Linked DNA regions of Drosophila melanogaster. Changing the gene in region 2 together with the main gene of any one other region gives a genetic interaction. Each region holds a gene or a part of one and is shown on either strand. Other genes may lie near its edges.

Evidence for each region.
Region 1: of y (region 2) and Topors, changing one suppresses a phenotype caused by changing the other (phenotypic suppression), as found in Drosophila melanogaster (one study listed by BioGRID).

What each region holds. Positions count from the first base shown.
Region 1 is NT_033778.4:18,969,243-18,978,529, reverse strand, and holds Topors (topoisomerase I-interacting protein), read right to left. Parts: upstream 5,919-9,287; 5' UTR 5,592-5,918; exon of another isoform or gene 5,533-5,591; 5' UTR 5,204-5,532; coding exon 4,808-5,203; intron 4,748-4,807; coding exon 4,287-4,747; intron 4,220-4,286; coding exon 2,805-4,219; intron 2,638-2,804; coding exon 1,793-2,637; 3' UTR 1,268-1,792; downstream 1-1,267. Other genes in the region: CG18605 (uncharacterized protein), read right to left, coding at 1-514, 590-702; CG15107 (uncharacterized protein), read left to right, coding at 6,097-6,285, 6,344-6,701, 6,755-6,939; prod (proliferation disrupter), read left to right, coding at 7,522-7,734, 7,802-8,396, 8,463-8,695. UniProt on the Drosophila melanogaster protein: Functions as a ubiquitin-protein E3 ligase. Negatively regulates the transcriptional repressor hairy/hry by promoting its ubiquitination and subsequent degradation. Also directs the nuclear organization of the gypsy chromatin insulator.
Region 2 is NC_004354.4:354,093-363,305, reverse strand, and holds y (yellow), read right to left. Parts: upstream 6,798-9,213; 5' UTR 6,627-6,797; coding exon 6,389-6,626; intron 3,690-6,388; coding exon 2,302-3,689; 3' UTR 2,061-2,301; downstream 1-2,060. UniProt on the Drosophila melanogaster protein: Controls the pigmentation pattern of the adult cuticle and larval mouth parts.

The DNA.
Region 1 (9,287 bases), on a different chromosome or scaffold from region 2:
TCGGGCTGTCACCAGCTGTCCGTCCATCTTCATCAAGAACGGAGCACCACCATAGCGCTCCATCATCATATCGTCGAGCTCGCCGAAATCCTCATCCTCCAGCTCCAGATCCGCCTCAAAGCCACCGCAATCGTCGTAGTTGATGCGGCGCGTAAATTCTACAAAGCTGTGCAGTCTCGTCGACAAAAACTCGCGATCCCTGGACTTCGCCGACGTAGTAGGACCATTATCAAAATCCAACAAGGCCCGGTACTGTGTGCTGCACTCATAGGCCATTAGAGTGTCGTACGGGGAACGGGCAAAGTTGATCAGTTCGTGGATGAAAAGGTCCGTATTGGCGCCAAAAAAGTGGATCATGGGCTTTCGGAACTCCTCGCTGTCCAGCTTAAGACGTGGAAGCAGATTCTTGATGGTCTCGTACAGATAGAAAATATCCGCCTTCCTGGTCCTGATCAGCACCGATACATCGCGGTTCACCCACATCATTACCCTATGAACCTCGAAGGGATTGAGACTACAAGGAAATGCAGAAATGAGAACATGGCTGAAATTTCCCTTATTTGTATTGGAGGAGGAAATTTTCACTCACCGGAAATATTCGGGGGACCAGCCGCGAAAGTCGCCCGTTTCACGATCCGGCAGAGAATATAGCGAATTGGCGTAGACATATATGCGCCATTGGACCATGTGCCGTGGCATCATTGTTGCTGCACTCCACGTGTCGACAATGTCGAAATTGTTCGAAGAAAAAACAGAAACAGAAACTTTACACGTGAACGAAAATTCCTGGAATTGTCAATCACAAATTCGATTTAATACTGATTTCACTGCTCACTGTCGCTCGCGAAATGGAACTTTTCCAGCTGTGCAATATGATACAGTATTTACCTTATAGGAATTAAACAATTAGCTCGTTCTTTAAACAATTCCAATTGAAACTCAGCGAAAAAGTTTTGCTTATTGCGCAGGCACAACGGCTCTGTGGCACGTTTTTATTTGGGGCGCATCTACACGATGCCTAATGTCAAGTGTGGAAAGTAAGGGACTGTTTAGACAATGCCATAAATTAACCTGCAAATCGTGACAAATCGGGACATCGGAAATCGAATATACTCTGAAATCACTGGAAACATTGAATTGAAACAAAATATGCATAAATTTAACAAAAAAAAAAATGCGCAAGGTGCCTATGCCGGGGGGCATCCTTGATCCAATGAGAATTACTTTTAGAACTTTACGAAATATGAAATGACACTTATTTATCTTTAATTTAATCTTTACATTTATTATGTATTTGATTCGTATTACAGATATCTTTTGTTCATTGTATGTTGAGTACACTAAAATTCATAACTGGCCACGCCCACTTATGCAAAAAACATTAACACCCTCCTCATACATTGATCAGCGCTAATTCTACGATTTAAAAGCTACGATAGTAAAGTTAGTTGCCATTGTTTATAGTTAGTTAGTTATAGATGCCGCTAACCTACGTGAATACATTTACAATCGATGTTCTTCAGGGGGATATTGAATGCGTCTTTTGATGTGGAAGGGGGGGGGTGGTATATGTATGTATGACAGAACATTTAAATAATGTTGGGATGGGTGTTTATATATGTATGTACAACTTAAAATGGCAATCTTAGGCCTACAATACATGAGTTACAATTACAAATATTATTTTATGGGGTTTGGGGATTTCAGGAATCGGAACAAGACAAGACGGAAACCAGTTAAACATTCCCTTACACTAGCAACTTAAATGAAAATCTAAATCAGTGGCTTATGCTTAATACGGCAGTAGTCCCTGATTCTCATCGTTTTCATCGTGGTTGTCGCTATCATCGTCGTCCTCCTCCTCTTCCTCTTCTTCCTCCGCAGCTTTTTCCTCTTCCTGGTCGTCTTCCTCTTGATCTTCATCCTCTTCGTCCTCCTCATCTTGTTCTTCGGTGGCAGTGGCTGTATCCTCGGCGATTTGCAACTCTGATTCGCCAACTACATCGATTGCGGCCTCCAGCGAATAGGCATCCCGTTCACGGCTGGCCTCCGGATCCGCATCTGTATCGAAATAGTTCTCTAGATTGGCGTCATCCGCCGCCAAAGTTTGTGGGCTGTCGCACAACGTGTTGCTCAGCATGCCCATGGAATTCTCTGCCGAATTATAATGCTCGTTGAAGAGTCCGATGTTCACAGGCTGCGTTAGAGTGGACAGTTCGATTAGGGAGTTGGCTATGTCGTGCTCTTCCATCGCCGGATGTCCGCGCATCAGCGGATCGCCGGAAAAGCCCGCTGCTCCCCAGGCAAACGAACTTAATGGAGCCGAGCTCGAGGTGGCTGTCGAACTGCTGGCCAAACTGGCACTCTGGCTGGACTGATTGCTGTGGCTGCAACTGCGTCGCCGTTTCGGTGCACTGCAACCCGGTTCGTTATCCTCTCTCGGCGATGGAGTCATCCGTGAGTGGAGGGGCCCCGCCTGGTCGTCATCCGGCAACTGAAGCTCCAGTTTTACAGGTTTCCTATCCTCCAGAGTTGCCTCCGCTTTTAGTGTGGCGCGCAAGGCACTGAGCTGCATGTTTACAGCGCTATCATCATCGGAATCGCTGCTGGATTTGTTGTTGTTCGTGTTGGGTTGACCTAGAAAACAAATTTGTGTAATTATACAAGTTTGATCTGATAGGATAATAAATAGTTTTTTGATTGTTTTTAGAGATCATTCTAGTGTTTTCCTGTTCAGAATGTGTGGTGTTATACATACATTCATACATGCTGATAAGAACCGTCTAGATTCACAAACCACTTACCGGATGACTCGCTGCTATCGCCACCTGACTCGTCATCGGACGAACTTGGACTGTCACTGCTGCTTTCCGGTTGGCGCTGGGGCTTCTTTTGGCTTATCTGCTGCTGCTCAAGCATTTCCATATTCTGGTCTTTGGCCTTCCGTTTACGAGATGTCCTTTTCCCGATTGACTCCTTTTTAGAGCGCTTATTATTCGCCACTCGCTTGCGTGACTTTTTCTTGGGTGGCTCGGAGTTGGTGGTACTACTGTCACTGCTATCCTCATCGCTGCTGCTGCTGAAGTGAAAGGAGGAGCTGCTGCAGCTGCTGGGGCTGCTGCCACTGTCACTGCGGGCAGGCATGGATGAACGGCGTGATTTCTTCGAACGTATAGAGCGCAGCGTGCGCAACTGATCGAGGCGCCGTGTCTGCGCCATGACCAGCTTCCAGTTCTTGCCTCTGTTGGCCGCTGCGCCACTTGTGCTGGGCCCCATAAACAGGCCCTGATCCCTGGAGGCCAGATCCAAAGGGGATTGTGTCGACCGGTTTTCGGCAATTGCGTCCGGCGCAGCTTCGTGCTGCTCATTTACGAACACCACATCGGAGTCACTATTTGAGTCAAGGCTCACCTGTTCGGGAGTGCGCATGTGTGGTGGCTTCAGCTCCAGCACAAAGACGCACTCATCCTCATCGCCGGAACTGCTGCTGCTCTCCAGTTCGATGTGCGCCGTCACTGGAAGAGTAGCACCTGCGTGTCTCCTACTGGTGTTGCTGCCATCATTGATGGCCGCCACCTCTGCATTTGCGGCCGCATCGCCGTCGTCGATCTCGATGACCTCTGGTTCCTCGCTGGCAACCGCCGCTGGGCGCCTCATGCTCAGGTTAATGGCAACCGTTTGTGAGCCCACATTGGTTGTACGGCGTATGGAAATCCCCGGCAGCTCACTGCCATCACTGGCCATTGTCACGCTGAAGGAATGTGTGGCACCAGGATTGGTCACAATCACACTGGTCGACGGGCGTACCCTAGGGGGGCTCCAATCCGGAGAGAAGCCAGCGTTTATAGCATCCGCATCGCTATCTCCGACCTCCAAATTCAGATCATCACCGTTCGAGGATTGTGTCTCCACCATGTCCAACAGATCCACCTCCACCTCCTCAGCCACTCGTGCCGAATACTGCACCACATGATCGTAACCGTTTATGTCATACGGGGAGCGGGCAAAGTTAAACAGTTCGTGGATAAAGTGACTGGTGCGCTCGCCGAGATACGGCGACAGCCGTCGACGGAATGTAGGACCTAGTAAGCTAGTCATGGGCAGGAGGTCGCTCATCAGAGTCATCACAGTATTTACGCTATGTGCGGCATTCCTCAGTAGGCACATGATGTCGCGATGGATCCAAGGCATCAGGCGATGAATCTGAGCAGGATTGTTTCTATAAGCAAGGATTTGAAATCGAAATCAGTATGGTTAAGTATGCGGTTTTAGGTATACGAACAGACCTGTAAAAACGGGCGCTCCACTCTCGAAAGTGTCCAGTCACGCTGTCGCTGACGGGCAGAGCATACAGCTTTCTATCGTACACATAACGTCGCCAGAGCTGGCTCAATGAACCCGACGTGGATGCATCCTGATCGTGCTGGTAGTAATTCATCAGCTCCGAGCGATACGGCTCAAAGCGGCTGTACGATCGCCTGCCAGCTGCTACTTCTGCCGCCGAAAGCACATCTTCACCAGCAGCTCCTGCCGCTATGGCCGCCTCGATGTCGTTGACAATGACGGCCTGGTTCTGCACCAGCGGCGTGTACCTGGGACGCCTCACAATGTGGTAACGTAGGGAGGGATTTTCTGTTGGAACCGGCGACGTAGTCTGCACCGGGTAGCGATCGTAGTCGTCCAGGGTGCGGACATTGTGTATGATGGTTCTGAAGGGCTGCTTACACAGTGGACACTCGGGCTTTATCTGCAATCGAGAATAATTAGATGGTTAAAATAATGGTTTACTCGCCTGCGGACTGGTTACCTTGCTCCACTCGCACAGGCACTTGAAGCAGAACTGGTGCATGCACGAGTCCGTGAAGCACTTCCTCCTGCAGCGGGACAAGCAGATGGCGCAATTGGGCGGCGGCGAGTTGCGCTCTACTGTTCCGTTCTCCTCCGCGGCGGATGCACTGGTGCCCGGCTCACCGATGGCGTTGGCATTATCCGGGCCAGCGGATACAGGTTCCTCGGCCTCGTTGTCTCCCGACTCACTGCCGCTCTCGGTGAGATCAGCAAACTTAATGGCCGCAGCCGGTAGCGTCCGGCCTCCGGCATTGGATCCTTCCAAACCAGGCTCCACAATCACCGATGCGCCCAACTCATCCACTCCCAAATAGGGCACGTTGGCGGCAAGAGCTCCGGGATTCTCCTCCGCCATTCTGGCGACTATATAGCGGCTATATGGGCTGTAAAATCGGCCGTAAGATGGGCGAGAACTCGGGCCTGAAGTTTTGTGTCTACTCTGTCCTCCTCTCTCTCTCACTCTGCTCCTCTCGCCCTCTCTCGCTCGCACTCGCTGGCTGGCACGCTACTCTATCATCTGGTTCGCAATTCGGTTCTCAATCCTCGTTTTCCAGCGGCCTTTTCCGGGCTAGGGGACGCATTATCCGTATTCTCTTGCGGTCTATGTGGTGGTCAGTGGCCTGTTCTGTAAAATAGCACAATTTTCGGGCCAGAAATCGCACTATATCTCAGTTAATTTTACACCTGAAAATGCAGGAAACTTGATTTTTTTGACCACTACGGTGATACCGTTCGTCGCGTACAGTTAAATGCTGCAGACCACGGAGATTGATATACTTTTGAATTACTTCAGAATACAAATTTTAAATAAAAAAGGTTTGGAAAATATGTTGAGTCAGCGGTTCTACTAGCTGTTCTACCCTCTGATTGAACTTGATTGAAAAAGCAGGACTAGCTTTGTTACAAAAATTACGAAATACACAAAAAATGCTTAAAGAACTAGACCAATTTATTTTATAAATTGAAATGTGATATTTTGAGAAAAATAAATATTTTTAGATGTATTACACAATCTTGTGAGATTGTGGCGCGGGTAAATTACAAATTCCAAGAAACTTCTTTTCGAACCTAGGAGAACCAAACAATTATTTTGATATTTTCTAAAATAGTTTGGTATTTCGGTTTTGGTATTTAATTTCGGAGCCTTAATTGTTTGTGTTATCGATAGCTCGTTGCTTTATTGCCTTTTTGTGGCGTCTGTTTCAATTTGTTTGTTTTCAATTGTTGGTCATAATTTGGATCCCCAAAATGAATCGACGCAACAAGCGGACGTCGTACTACCAATACGAAGTATACCTAGACTTCATGGAGGAGAATCCCCCGATGTCGGCCAACAAACTGAGTCGCACCCAGGACGGCAAGAAGTGGAAGGAGCTCAGCGATCTGCTAAACAAGTGCTCCACGGGTCCCACTTTGTCGCCCGAGGAATGGCGAAAGGTATGTTGTAACCAGTTGGGTATCGAGTGTACAAGCCCACAGTGTGTCATGCTTATAGCGCCTCAACGACTGGAAGAACAGCACGCGCTCCAAATACCGACGCAGCATCAACTCGGATGACAAGAGCAATGCAATGACTCCTCTGGAGAACAGAGCCCTGCAGATCTTCTCCTTAGAACCGAATTTTCGCGAGGGAATTTCGATGCGCCTGCACGAACTGATGGAGGAGCAAGAGGAACTGGATGAAGAAGAGAATGAGAACCTGGAGGAGTTGGTGGATGAGGAGGAGGAGGAGGAGGTGCAGTACCAGCAGTTCATAGCAGAGCCTCACGAGCAAGCCAACCCAACGATCATCAATGGTCACAGTGCCGCGAAAAAGCTAAGGCTCGATGGTTCCAGTGAGATTATCTACGAAGGTGGGTAGACGCAAATCTAATGTAAATACTAAATATCCTATAAAGGGACATAGCCTTGATTTCAGTCGCGGATGTCACATCTGATCAATCTGCCGCGAAAGAACCGTCTGCCTTCTATGGAGAGAAAATCCAGGAGCAGCTGAAACGCATTTCGGACATACACGAGGCATCGCTGCACTTTAAGATAGCCCGCTTCAAGTACAATAATCCCGGATTCGAGTACGTTCCGGAATTATAGCCCATGCTAGCCATGCACATTGATATAATGTATAATGTAATATAATATGTGAGCTCAGAGGGACCTGCTGATTTCGCCTCGAATTAAAAGCCGCGGAACGCTCAATAAGTAGTACAGTAGGCATTCGTTGAAAACAAATTCTTGAGTAGTGTGTACCATATACCAATTAGTCGTTTTTAAGACTGTTGTTATGCATATCGTTCGACGAAATACTTTTTGCACATATATTTTGAAATGTATTATTGATTTATATGAAACCGCTAATAAATATTGTGACAAATCATTTCTGAATCCGCATGTTTTTATTGCAACAAAATTGAATTATTTATTGCACATCTAGCCATAACTATCGCATGGCATCTAATTGCTTTTTTGGCTTCCCGCCAGATGCGCACCACTGGCGTGCCGAATGCAACCCTGCGCCAACAGCAACAAAATGCAACTAGAAAATCCCAAACGCTAAATGCGTAAATTGTTTGTGAACATCTCGCATCGCTTGGTGGCGTCGATTTGCATTTTAGGGCTTTTGCCAGCTATTTAAACACGGCATCGAGCACGCAGGCACAGAGCAAGGATACCCGGATGAACGGCAAGATGGACCGCCGCAAGAAACGCACCTCATCGGAGCAGTACCAAATGTACATCGACATGATGGAGAGCGACCCCATTTTCGCCACCGGACGAGTGCCGCGCGACTATGACCTGAACTACTTGACCAAAAAGTGGAAGGAGCTCTCCGACCGGCTAAACAAGTGCAGCTCCGGACCCACACTGACGCCGGAGGAGTGGCGCAAGGTACGAGTACCACTACATCACCCAAATAATGTTACCTCTAATCGCGAATTTCCTGCTCCACATACAGCGCCTAAACGATTGGAAGAACACCACTCGCTGCAAGTACAGACGCAGCCTTCTGTCCACGGAAAAGGACATCTCGATGACCTCCGTGGAGACGCGCGCTCTCGATCTCTTTGGCAAGGTGCCCACCACCGGCGGCGAAACGATGCTCAATCTGAAGTCCGAAAAGGATGAGCACGACGACGAGATGGAGGAACTGGGCCAGCGTACTTCGGTGGCATTTCAAAAGGAACTTCAGGCAGCCGTTGAAGAGGCAATCAACGATGAGGTGGACGAGGAGGAGATGGTGGAGGAGCATGTCGATCACGAGGACATGATGGAGGAGAATCTGGCGGAGACCGGCATCACCGCGTCCACAACGGCGGTCAATACGGGTGGCGGCACCTATCGCACCATCGTCGTGGACAACACATCCTTCGAGCATGTCGAGGAGGATCCCCAAACGGTGCAGCCGCACGCCGTCGAGTACGTCACATCCCGCAGGCCTGCTGCCCCCGTCATCAATCCGGGCACAGCCTCCTCCGGCAATAAGCTGATCAACGGCGAGCTGCCCGTCAAGCGGATGCGCACACAGCCCAGGGAGCAAATTATCTACGAAGGTAACTATGCCGTTTTACTTTGCTTAAGTTTAAGCAGTTAACATCACGTTTTTCCATATCTTTCAGTTAAAAATGCGCCGCGTTGCATTTCAAACATGCAGGCCGTGCCGCCGCTGCACAGTACAAAGCTGGAGCGGGAACCCAGTTCGCTGACAAGCGCGCTGAGCAGCAGCGATGCCCAGCAGATCGCGCACCAGCTGAAGCGACTGGCCGACATCAAATTCGAGACACTGCAATTTGAGATTGCGCGCTTCAAGTTCAACAACCCGGGCTTCCAGTACGATCCGCCGTCCTTATAGTGTCCCAAGCGGCAGGGCGAGATCAGTGGGTCTAAGCAGTCGGCAAAAACTCCAGCACCAGCAGAAGCCACGGCGAAAGGATCAGCATTAGCAAAAGCAATGGAACGAGTCAAGTCAGCTCGAATTGTATAGGTCTTTTACGAATGTGCTCTTTGGCACTCGAACGTTTTCTAGCTCTCCAAGTCCTGCGCTCCGCCGGAACACACACAAAACTGTAACTTATAGTAGCCAGATTTAAATTGACTAGTTTAAAATTGACATAGAATTCTATTGTGTAAACAGTTATTTTCAACTTTTCAAGCACTTCATCTACGATATCCATATATATGAAATAGGCATAAAATTGTAATATCTAAAGTGAAAAACAATTGGACAAGTAATTTTAACGCGTTGTATGTAAATGTTAAGAATAAAGTTTACCAATGATAAATATGCGCCGCACAGACGTGCTCCACCTTTTGCCTGTTGTTGCATTTTTAGAGTTTATTTATGACGCCGTGGCCAGAATCGAAGCCAACACGAAAAGTCCATTAATCAAAGCTAGGGAGATGGCGTCGACAACGCGTATATGCATTGTGGCTCGGCTTCGCTT
Region 2 (9,213 bases):
CAATCCTTATCCGAATTTTTATTCTGGTTCTGTTCTGAGTTCTTTTTACGATCCTACCCTACCACCAACAAAGTCTTTTTGTTTGCCCCGTCTGAAGTCTGGCTCCGATCAAAAGCAAAAATTTCAATTACAGTCGAATCTCAAGGGACCAGGCGATCTCAAATTGAGCGATTAAGTTGAACTTTCCCTGCACCCAAACAAGATCTGTCTTCCTATTAGTCTCAATAATTACATGAAATGCTCATAAAAATAGCATTTGCGCCGGAAATATGTGTATATTGATCAAGAAAAAACGCCGAGTTCCACGACTTTACATTTAATTACATAATTAACAGTTAAACCCGTGAAAGGGAAATGGCGAAAAACTATTACGATGGCACAAAATTCGGTACTTAATTTTGTAGTCATTTCTGTTCTTTTCTCTATCTTACCTTTTTTCGACTGACTAGGAATGAGATTGCGGATCACTTTAAAAGCTGCAAACCTGCAGCGGCGGTTTTTTATATTCAAATTGAAAATGCAAATTCTAAAAATCATCGACCCAAACTTATACGAAACGGAAGCCACAAATGGCAGCGTGAAATTAAAGGGCGTCTAACGTAAAATTAGCAACTCGTTTGGTTCCGCGGATTTATTGCATTTGAATAACTCAAATTATAGTCCCCACTGACTTTTATCTTAATATTTGTTTTGGCCACAAAAAATTTGAATGAACTGCTGCGGTTTTGCTTTATTTTTTGGCTTTATATATCATGGGGCCTTCCTTAACCGCAAATTAGCCACACGTAGGATATTCTTGTTTCTCGTTAAGCCGACTGCCTTCAGACAGTGTGGCGTGTTAATAGAGCAAGTGTTGTTTTGTTCACTTTTGGCGTTAAGTGCTTCGCACAGAATGCTTTTTGGGACTGTCCGTCCGTAATCACAAAGTATATAAATGCTGCCTGCTCTTTGTTCCTCTGTTTGTTTTTCGACAGTTTGACAAAATGCCCCGCCCGAGACTGGGAATATCAACAGTCGCCTGGTAGTGTAAATAAATAATTGCCGATGCACCGAAAAAAAAGCTCTAAATTTTGCCTTATGTGTATGTATGTATGCTGCAATTTCAAACTCATATTTTAAAGTTTGATTCTTCAAACTAATATGCACCCAAAAACAATTTTTATTGGAATTGTTAATTGTTAATTATGATTTTTAAAAAAGTGCTTACTAATTTGATACTTTCGAAAGTATAATAAATATTCTTTCCACGTTATAAATGACATATATCAAATGTCATAATATATTAAATTTATACTTTATAAAATATTTTCTTTAGTACATTTACATTTGTAGCATAAACAAGAGAGAACGCTATAGTCGAGATATACAATTTGCATGTATCTATAATGTAGAAGGAATCATAATGTTGTAATACCCATCGGATTTCTGCGCAATAGATTTGTATCATTAAAACTATTAATTATTATTAAATACATTATCACTTTCCCTGATTACACAACAAGGTGAAACTAAAAGGCGAAAATTAAAATACACTAACTAATATTGCGTATAAATTTACTAAGCTCTGTTTCAAGAACATTTCCGATATGTAAAAATTATATGCTTCGTCTACCGTTGTGCGTAAAAAAGGAAGCATTCTTTTACCATGCGTATTTTTTGTTTTATTTTTGCTGTGACCAAGAGTATGCAACACATAATATATACTGGCCAATAGAAGTCCCTCGCAAAAAAGTAGGCAATACAAGTAAGGAAATTAGGAAAATTGTAAAAAAAACACGATGACTGATGTGTGGTTTAATCAACTGTAGGTAGAGCTCTGACAACCCCAACAGAAGAAAGTAGGGATAGTAGCAGGTGGATCTAGCTTGCAGAAAACTAAAGTGATTGCTGGCAACCTTTTCTGATTTTAGTTGTGTTTGTGTATGTTCTCAAGTCCTATGATCCAGAAGATGCGAAACCCATCCATATGACAGATCTTGTGCATAGCTTTATCAACCTACTTTCTTGCCTGGTAGTAGTACTCCAGAAAATGTACAGTTGTTGATATATTTAGAATTTATGCATACTTACATTTTTTCCGCTTTTTCCGCTCAAGAAAATTGCGTAAACTCTTAACCTTCAAAAAAAAGTTGATTTATTGTTATTTTTTGCTTAACATAACTAGATAAAGTATTGATTTGCCACTTGCTCATACGTCATGTGGTTTTTTTAACCGCTGTTGCCCTATGTTGTTGTCTTTAAATATTCTTTACATCAATCGAGTGTGTGAGAATATACCCAAGTACCGTGTGTAGGATTATGTTAACCTTGATGCTGATGATGCCACCACCCAGATTGGCGGGCATTCACATAAGTTTTTAACCCACCATCCTGGCCACCCGGTTGGGCGGGTTGATGGGTGGGAAATAGATGGGGACCACTTGTCTCGTAATTTATGCCGTTGTGCTGGTTGAAAATATAGGCCTTTGGCACCTCCACTCCTGCAGGACCCACAGAATTTGTAGAGACACTAATACTGGAGACTACATTGCCTGAATTGGCGGGCAAATAAGTGCGACTTGGAGGAGGCGGCGAGGAAGCCCAGCTGGTCTGAGGTTTCTGTGGCAAGACAGGACGATATTGTTTCGTATATAACGGTGGACCCATTGGCAAAACGGCTTGTTTTGGTATTGAAACGGTATTTGGCGGCCCATAGGCGTTATTCCTCAAATCACACACAGTATTCTCAATTAAAGTGGCCAAGGGAGCCGTGTAAATTCGGAAATTAGTATCTGAATAATCCAAGTCAGACAGCAAGAAAACGGGCATCCTATCGGATAGAACCCAAACGTTTTTGTTCTCATCAATTTTCACATCGGCCGGAAAAACTAAGCCAACGTCATCGCGATCCACAATGCCATGAAATTGCGGTGAGTACGGCATTGATGAGTGCCAGCAACCCACTGCATTTTGATCTATTAAATTGAACAGCTCAATTCCATCATCGCTCATCACACGTGAAGTGGTATGGGAGTTTGGACCCCGTTCATCTAAGGCAACAAAGTCATGATAGCTATCTTCCGTCCTGGTTTCATCCCTCAAAATCCTCGTGGATACGGCAAATTGTCGATGACTTGCTAACGGACTAAAGTACAGGGTACGATAACCATCCGATCGAATGGGCGAAAGGGACATACCAAATATACCCTCCTCGCCCCATTGGAAGTTAATACCAGCGACATTGAAATCGCCCCTCAATGGATCGGGGAAAAAATACGAATGTGCCGAGAATCTCCAGGACTTGTTCAGTTCCCAGGAGTAAGCAATCAAGCCGTATCCCAATTCATCGGCAAAATAGGCATATGCATCATCGCAATTTTTGCCTATATCCACGGCAATGTTAGCTATGAAAGTATTTGGATTTGTGTCCACGCCAGGTAGCTCGTATCTCCGAATTCGCGTATCCGTGGTCAAGTCAAAGACATTTACCGCATAGGGGCACGGATTAGTGGTGGTATTGCCGATGCCCACGGTTCCAGTGTCCAAAACCCACAGCCGACCACACTCATCCACTTTAATGCGGTAGGCAGTGGTAATACTGTTGGCGCAATCTCCAGCTGTATTTGAGCGCCAATCTGGATACGGAATTAGCTCCGGTGAACCCGTCAAACTGCGGTCCATGTTTATATAGGTCAGAGTGGCCGGAATCCCTAAAAAATAAAATAGGAGAATTAGCAGGGCCAAACTATTATTGAGGCACTAAATAAAGTTTGTTTTGAATATTTAATTAACTGGAATTTCTGCCTAAATTCCTTCTTTGGATTATTATACTAAGCAATGTTGCAAGTTATCGCTGTCTGTTTTCTGGATAATATGTAAATGCATACAGATGTAAAGGTAAATTAGAATCGCTTATGTTTGGCATTTAATTATTTATATACCTATTTGTCATTATTTTGGACACAAGGAATCATAAGCAATGGTAACTGCCGTGCTAATGGCTCTTTTTTCTGCTTGTACATCTACTGGAAGTTTATGTTAAAAGATCCCCGGCTATATGTACTTCAGTCATAATTGGCACTATTGCAAGTTGCGTGCAATTTGCGATGTCATTAGCCGTCTGAAGCAATTGCGTCTGACATCATTATCAATATGTATACCATATATCGCTGTTAAATGTATATGTGGCCATTGGCAGTATTTCGACCGATTTCCGCTCCAGTTCTTTTCCTTCTTTATTTCTTCGTTAATTGAATTTAAAGACATTTATTGTTTCTGGGAACTTTTAATGTTTTTATAGCAGGCGAGTGAGACTGCAACGACCAGAAAATATAGCTTTTATCGATTTACCGACCCATCTTCTTAAAAATCAAACCAGGCGTTTTTGCTTTACAAAGTAACCGGGGGTTGCGATAAATATACATTTGAGCATAATGCACCTTTCAATCTTTATTTAATTCATAACTTTTAAAATAACAATCTAATTCAGTCAAATATAAAGTATTTGAACAAATTTATATTTTGACATGTGCTCTTTCAGTCCTAAAACCTCGCAACTGACAGATTTATCTGCTTCATGATTTTCAACATTTTCATTGTAAACAATTTTTTCGACTGTCTTGAGGTTCTCCTTTTCCAAAGAAATATGTCTCAACATTTTTTTCATTCAGATATTTTTTCTAATCTTATTTGTAATTAAGATGAACTTTTAGCTTGGAATGGGCCGCAAATATCGTTGATGTAGTAGTTTATGCGTTCACTCGTTGACAAAAGCTAAGTTGATCAACTATCGAGTAGCTCAATTGACTGGGGTATATTATTCAATGGCTGGTGGCCTAATGAATCTGTATGAAATACGTGAGCTGAGTCGATATCGGAAAATGTTGGCAATTCTGTGTTTTAGTTTCAGAATCGGATACAACTTCCCGATCGGAATCCGATTTTGATTTTGATATTTCACACTTGATTTTAAACAGTAATCTTGTCCCGTAGCTAGTTGTCGCGATAACCATGGGCTTTTTTAAATCAAAATTTATTTACTCAAATCTTCATAGAATAGTTTTTCCAATTGAGCCCAGCATTGGTGGTCAATGATAATATTTATAATTAATCATACCCCATAACTGTCACTTATAGGTATTCTGTAGCCTGTTGTTGCCACTACCGATTTGCTTTGACTAATTGATTTGCTTCGATGGCCATTGAAGCATGCCTTTAAATGTTCCACTTTGCCACAACTTTCACTATGTTTTGTTTGCCGTAACTTGGGGTTTATTTTTTGCCGATTCGGCCTTCTGGGCTATTATTTCATTGACTGGAGGTAGTCAGTCGATATCTTTTTAAAAAGAGACCTCAAGGCTGGGCCAGAATATTTTGATATACTTAATAATACAATACCATTACATTATAAGTGACATTAAGATATCCTTGAAGAGCGTGTTTTTTTAAGTTTAGTCAGAAGTTTGGGTGTTTCGGACTGCTTAAGAACATATGTACAAAATTTATTAACATCGCCGTGTTTTTCTGTGTAAATACCAATTGTAAGCCATGCATAAAAACTAATCAATCATCGAAAGCATTCCTAGACGTACTGAAGTATTTGTATGCGCATCATATAATCTTAGCAATTGGGTTTTTTAGTTTCATTGCTTTTTAAAATTTCCTAGTTTTGTGTTTCAACTATTTCATAAAAATTTTGATTATTGTGTAAGCCAAATAATTTTGAAGCAAAATCATTTGTGTGATTAATAATAAAACGTGAGTCACAGAACAATGCCTTCGCATTTAAACATTTCGCCACTCTTACATTTGTTGAACTGACAGCTAATCGTCGGTTAATAGCTAATGCCATAAGTTATTGTTTGTGATTGGATTTCCATTTCTATGTGGCGGCCCTGAAGAAGTCTTTACAATTCGGATGGTAATATAATACAATTTAATACAGTATAAAGCCAATGCCATGCTATTGGCTTCGATTTTACAACGGTTAATTGTTTAAAATGTTAAAATAACGCGCAGGTACCAACCGGATTTATGAGAGGTCGCCACGCTAAAACCTTTACATGAGGGTGCTCTCAAAATATATTGTCATATTTATTCCTCTGCCAAAATGGTGAAAAGGCATACAAATAAAAAAATACATTTTTCGTCTGTACTAGTTTAAAATTAAATTGTACAAAACAATATTATTTTCTAAGAAGGGTAGAAAGACAAAAAAATGTTCTCCAAATTCTAAAATAAATAACAAGCTCTTATTTGAATACCTAAACTAAATGAATTTTGTGTTTTTACATCATGTCAAACAAGCCATATAAAACTGTCAACCACTCAATCAGATATCTCTGATGCCCTAAGTAAGAATGTCCCATTTACGATCTCCCCAAGGGCTTCATATTTAACTTCCACTTACCATCACGCCAGCGGGGAACAGTGACGAATAACCGATTGCCAAAGTGTTCGACTCCAACAGGTAGAGCATTTTGCGGAATATAATCTCCACTAGCCAGAGCTTGGTCCTTTAGTCGGGTATTCGGGAAAGCAAAGTCCAGCTGGCTCCAACTATATCGCTCCTGAAGTTTGTAAGCAGCCCAAGACGGCGTCACCAAGGTGATCAGGGTCACAAGGATCCACCCTTTGTCCTGGAACAGTGCACTTAGCTCTAAGCTGACAATCACTCTTAACACTTAAGCCAAAGTGTGTTGGCAATAAAAAAAAATATATTTGTTTATATATGTTCAGCTATAGGGGGTTCTTCTCTAGCCTTCGGCTGTGTGATATTTTTTTAATCCTCTTCTGTGGACCGTGGCGCGGTAACGACTGGTGGCCATAATATGTCGGCCGCGTTTTATATGAAGTTTTTTTTCTCCGAAGACGAAGACAGGCCAATGAAAATGAAAACGAAGGCGCGCGCCAACTTCGGTGGTTTTAGTGATTCGGGTGGTTCAGTGTTCGGGTAATCAGGTGGCTTATGCTGTTCCCATAGATCGGCCAACTTTGCGTTTTGTCTTCCATGATTGATTTTCACGCATGTTTAATAAATACACTCGAATCCCCCAATTTAATGAGTCAGACATCACCTTTCGCTGGGTTTGGTATGATTTTTGGCCTTCATCGACATTTAAAACTGCGCTGATTTGTGCCGAAATACCTTTCGGTACCCTAAAAGATTAAGACCTATTTTAAAGTTGTGACTACTATTTATTTAATTTTAGGGACTTTATTTGACGATCTAATTTCAAACAAGTAAATTGTAAGGCCAGGAGGCTCGTGCATAGAATGCATTGCTCTCCAAATTTCTGAAAATCTGAAAGCTTAATACATGACAGTTGTGTTCTGAGAACAGTGTTCATCTTTATCGGCGACTGCAAAAAATGTTCTAATATGATTTTTTAGTTCAATTCATTAAAAAAATCAAATCAATATTATATGAAATACATGCAGACAAAAATCCAGAAATATCAAATAAATCGTTATTATAACGTGTACTATGTAGAGTATTTAAAGCAGGTGTTTCCTTGTATACTATTAAATTGGAACTCGTGCTCGTTTCAATTGCTTAGGATTGGATTTCGATTGGGCGTCACCGATGATTCACAATTCACTGAGGGTCAAATATTTGGTTTCCGCTAGTTATTGGCAGGTGATTTTGAGCATACATATACATAAATATAATTGAGTGTTACATAAAATTTCAAAAGGGACGAAAGCGCTTTTAGGTAATTCCACTAGCTGTTATTTAAAATATTGTGGTCCCTGAAAATCAACTGGATGTTGGGGGTGCCCTAAGTGGGTAATGCTCTAATGACCATCGCCGCAAGTAAATGTTAAAAATTCGAACCGAAAGCGATCGCATATATCTCTTGGCCCAAATGCACCTGCTTGCTAAAGAAAAAATTGCAAAACTTAAGTAAAGTAATACAACCAGCCACACGCATAATAAACATGCAAATGGGTAAAAATACGTTTTACGACCTCCGCAGATAAAGTGGTTTGCATTAATCCTCAATAATCTACACTTTAAATAAGGAAAACCTCTCAAAATATTAAAATACAAATTAAAGAATGCCGTTTAAATTTAATCTTATTTCTTCGGATGTCTAAAAACAATTTCAAAGCTAATGTAACCATTACTGCTATTGAATTTGTGTAGTTTTTGGACTCTATATCATTTATGCAATGCTATTTTTTCTTAGAAGTGGTTCAACTTGATCCCTTGCCCGCATTCTAAATCATTGCACCCACAGAAAAATAAACAAACACGGTGTGGCAATCGAAAAATATGTTGCACAAAATTACCGGCAATGCTGCTCGAATTTATTGCGATCGGCAGGCTTATTAAAAGACACACTTGAAATAACCAGTACAGTTTTATTAATTAATTGTGTGTGTTGTGTAATGAAATGGTGTATTTACTAAAAACGCAACTAATGATGCGATCGCTGCAGCCGTTGAACCTATAATTTTTTTCGAATTGACTTGTTTTCAAGTTTTTGCTTAATTGTGTGGGGGGATGCTGCGTTTGTCTGTTTGGTTACTGTTTTTCTTTTTCGCTTTTCAGAGCTTGCGGCAATGATTTATACGCACTTTTCCCAATAATTGAAACAAGTTTTCTGCCCCAGCACAAAACAAAACAACATCAAGCGGAGCGCGCTAAGTGGTCAAAAAAAGCTTCCACAAATCAGATCTCTTTGGCATAATTGACTAACGCTTATGCAACCGACCGGCAACATTCGACATTATTTACACACAGGATCACTTCAACTTGGGCGGAAAGCAAAGCCGAATACCGCATGACATTGCCCGACCCGTGTTTCATGTTTTATTTTCCTTATTCCCCACTTATGGCAGCCTGGACATTATCTCCCTCCCTCCCCTCCCCCCTCCTACACTAATTTGGAAATCCATCGTGACTGCAAAACGAAAAACCCGTTGCTCAACTTCTCTAACATAAGCGGTACACAGCATTTTCCGTTTTGTGTTATATATTTTTGTGTTTTTTTTTTTTTCAAGTTCAATGTCCATGGCCCTGACCGCCGGGTCCCCTCCTTTCGAGCTGGGATTATTTGGCATGGCCAAATTCGGAAGGCCGCGATCACTTCCCGCTTACACACAATTGCACATGTCCCCATGACATGCACTGCGCTCAAACTATTAGTACCCCTTAGTAACTTAAGCCAAATTAAAAATAAGTTCATTAATATAAATAAAATAGTCAATTTCCACTGTCCCGATTGA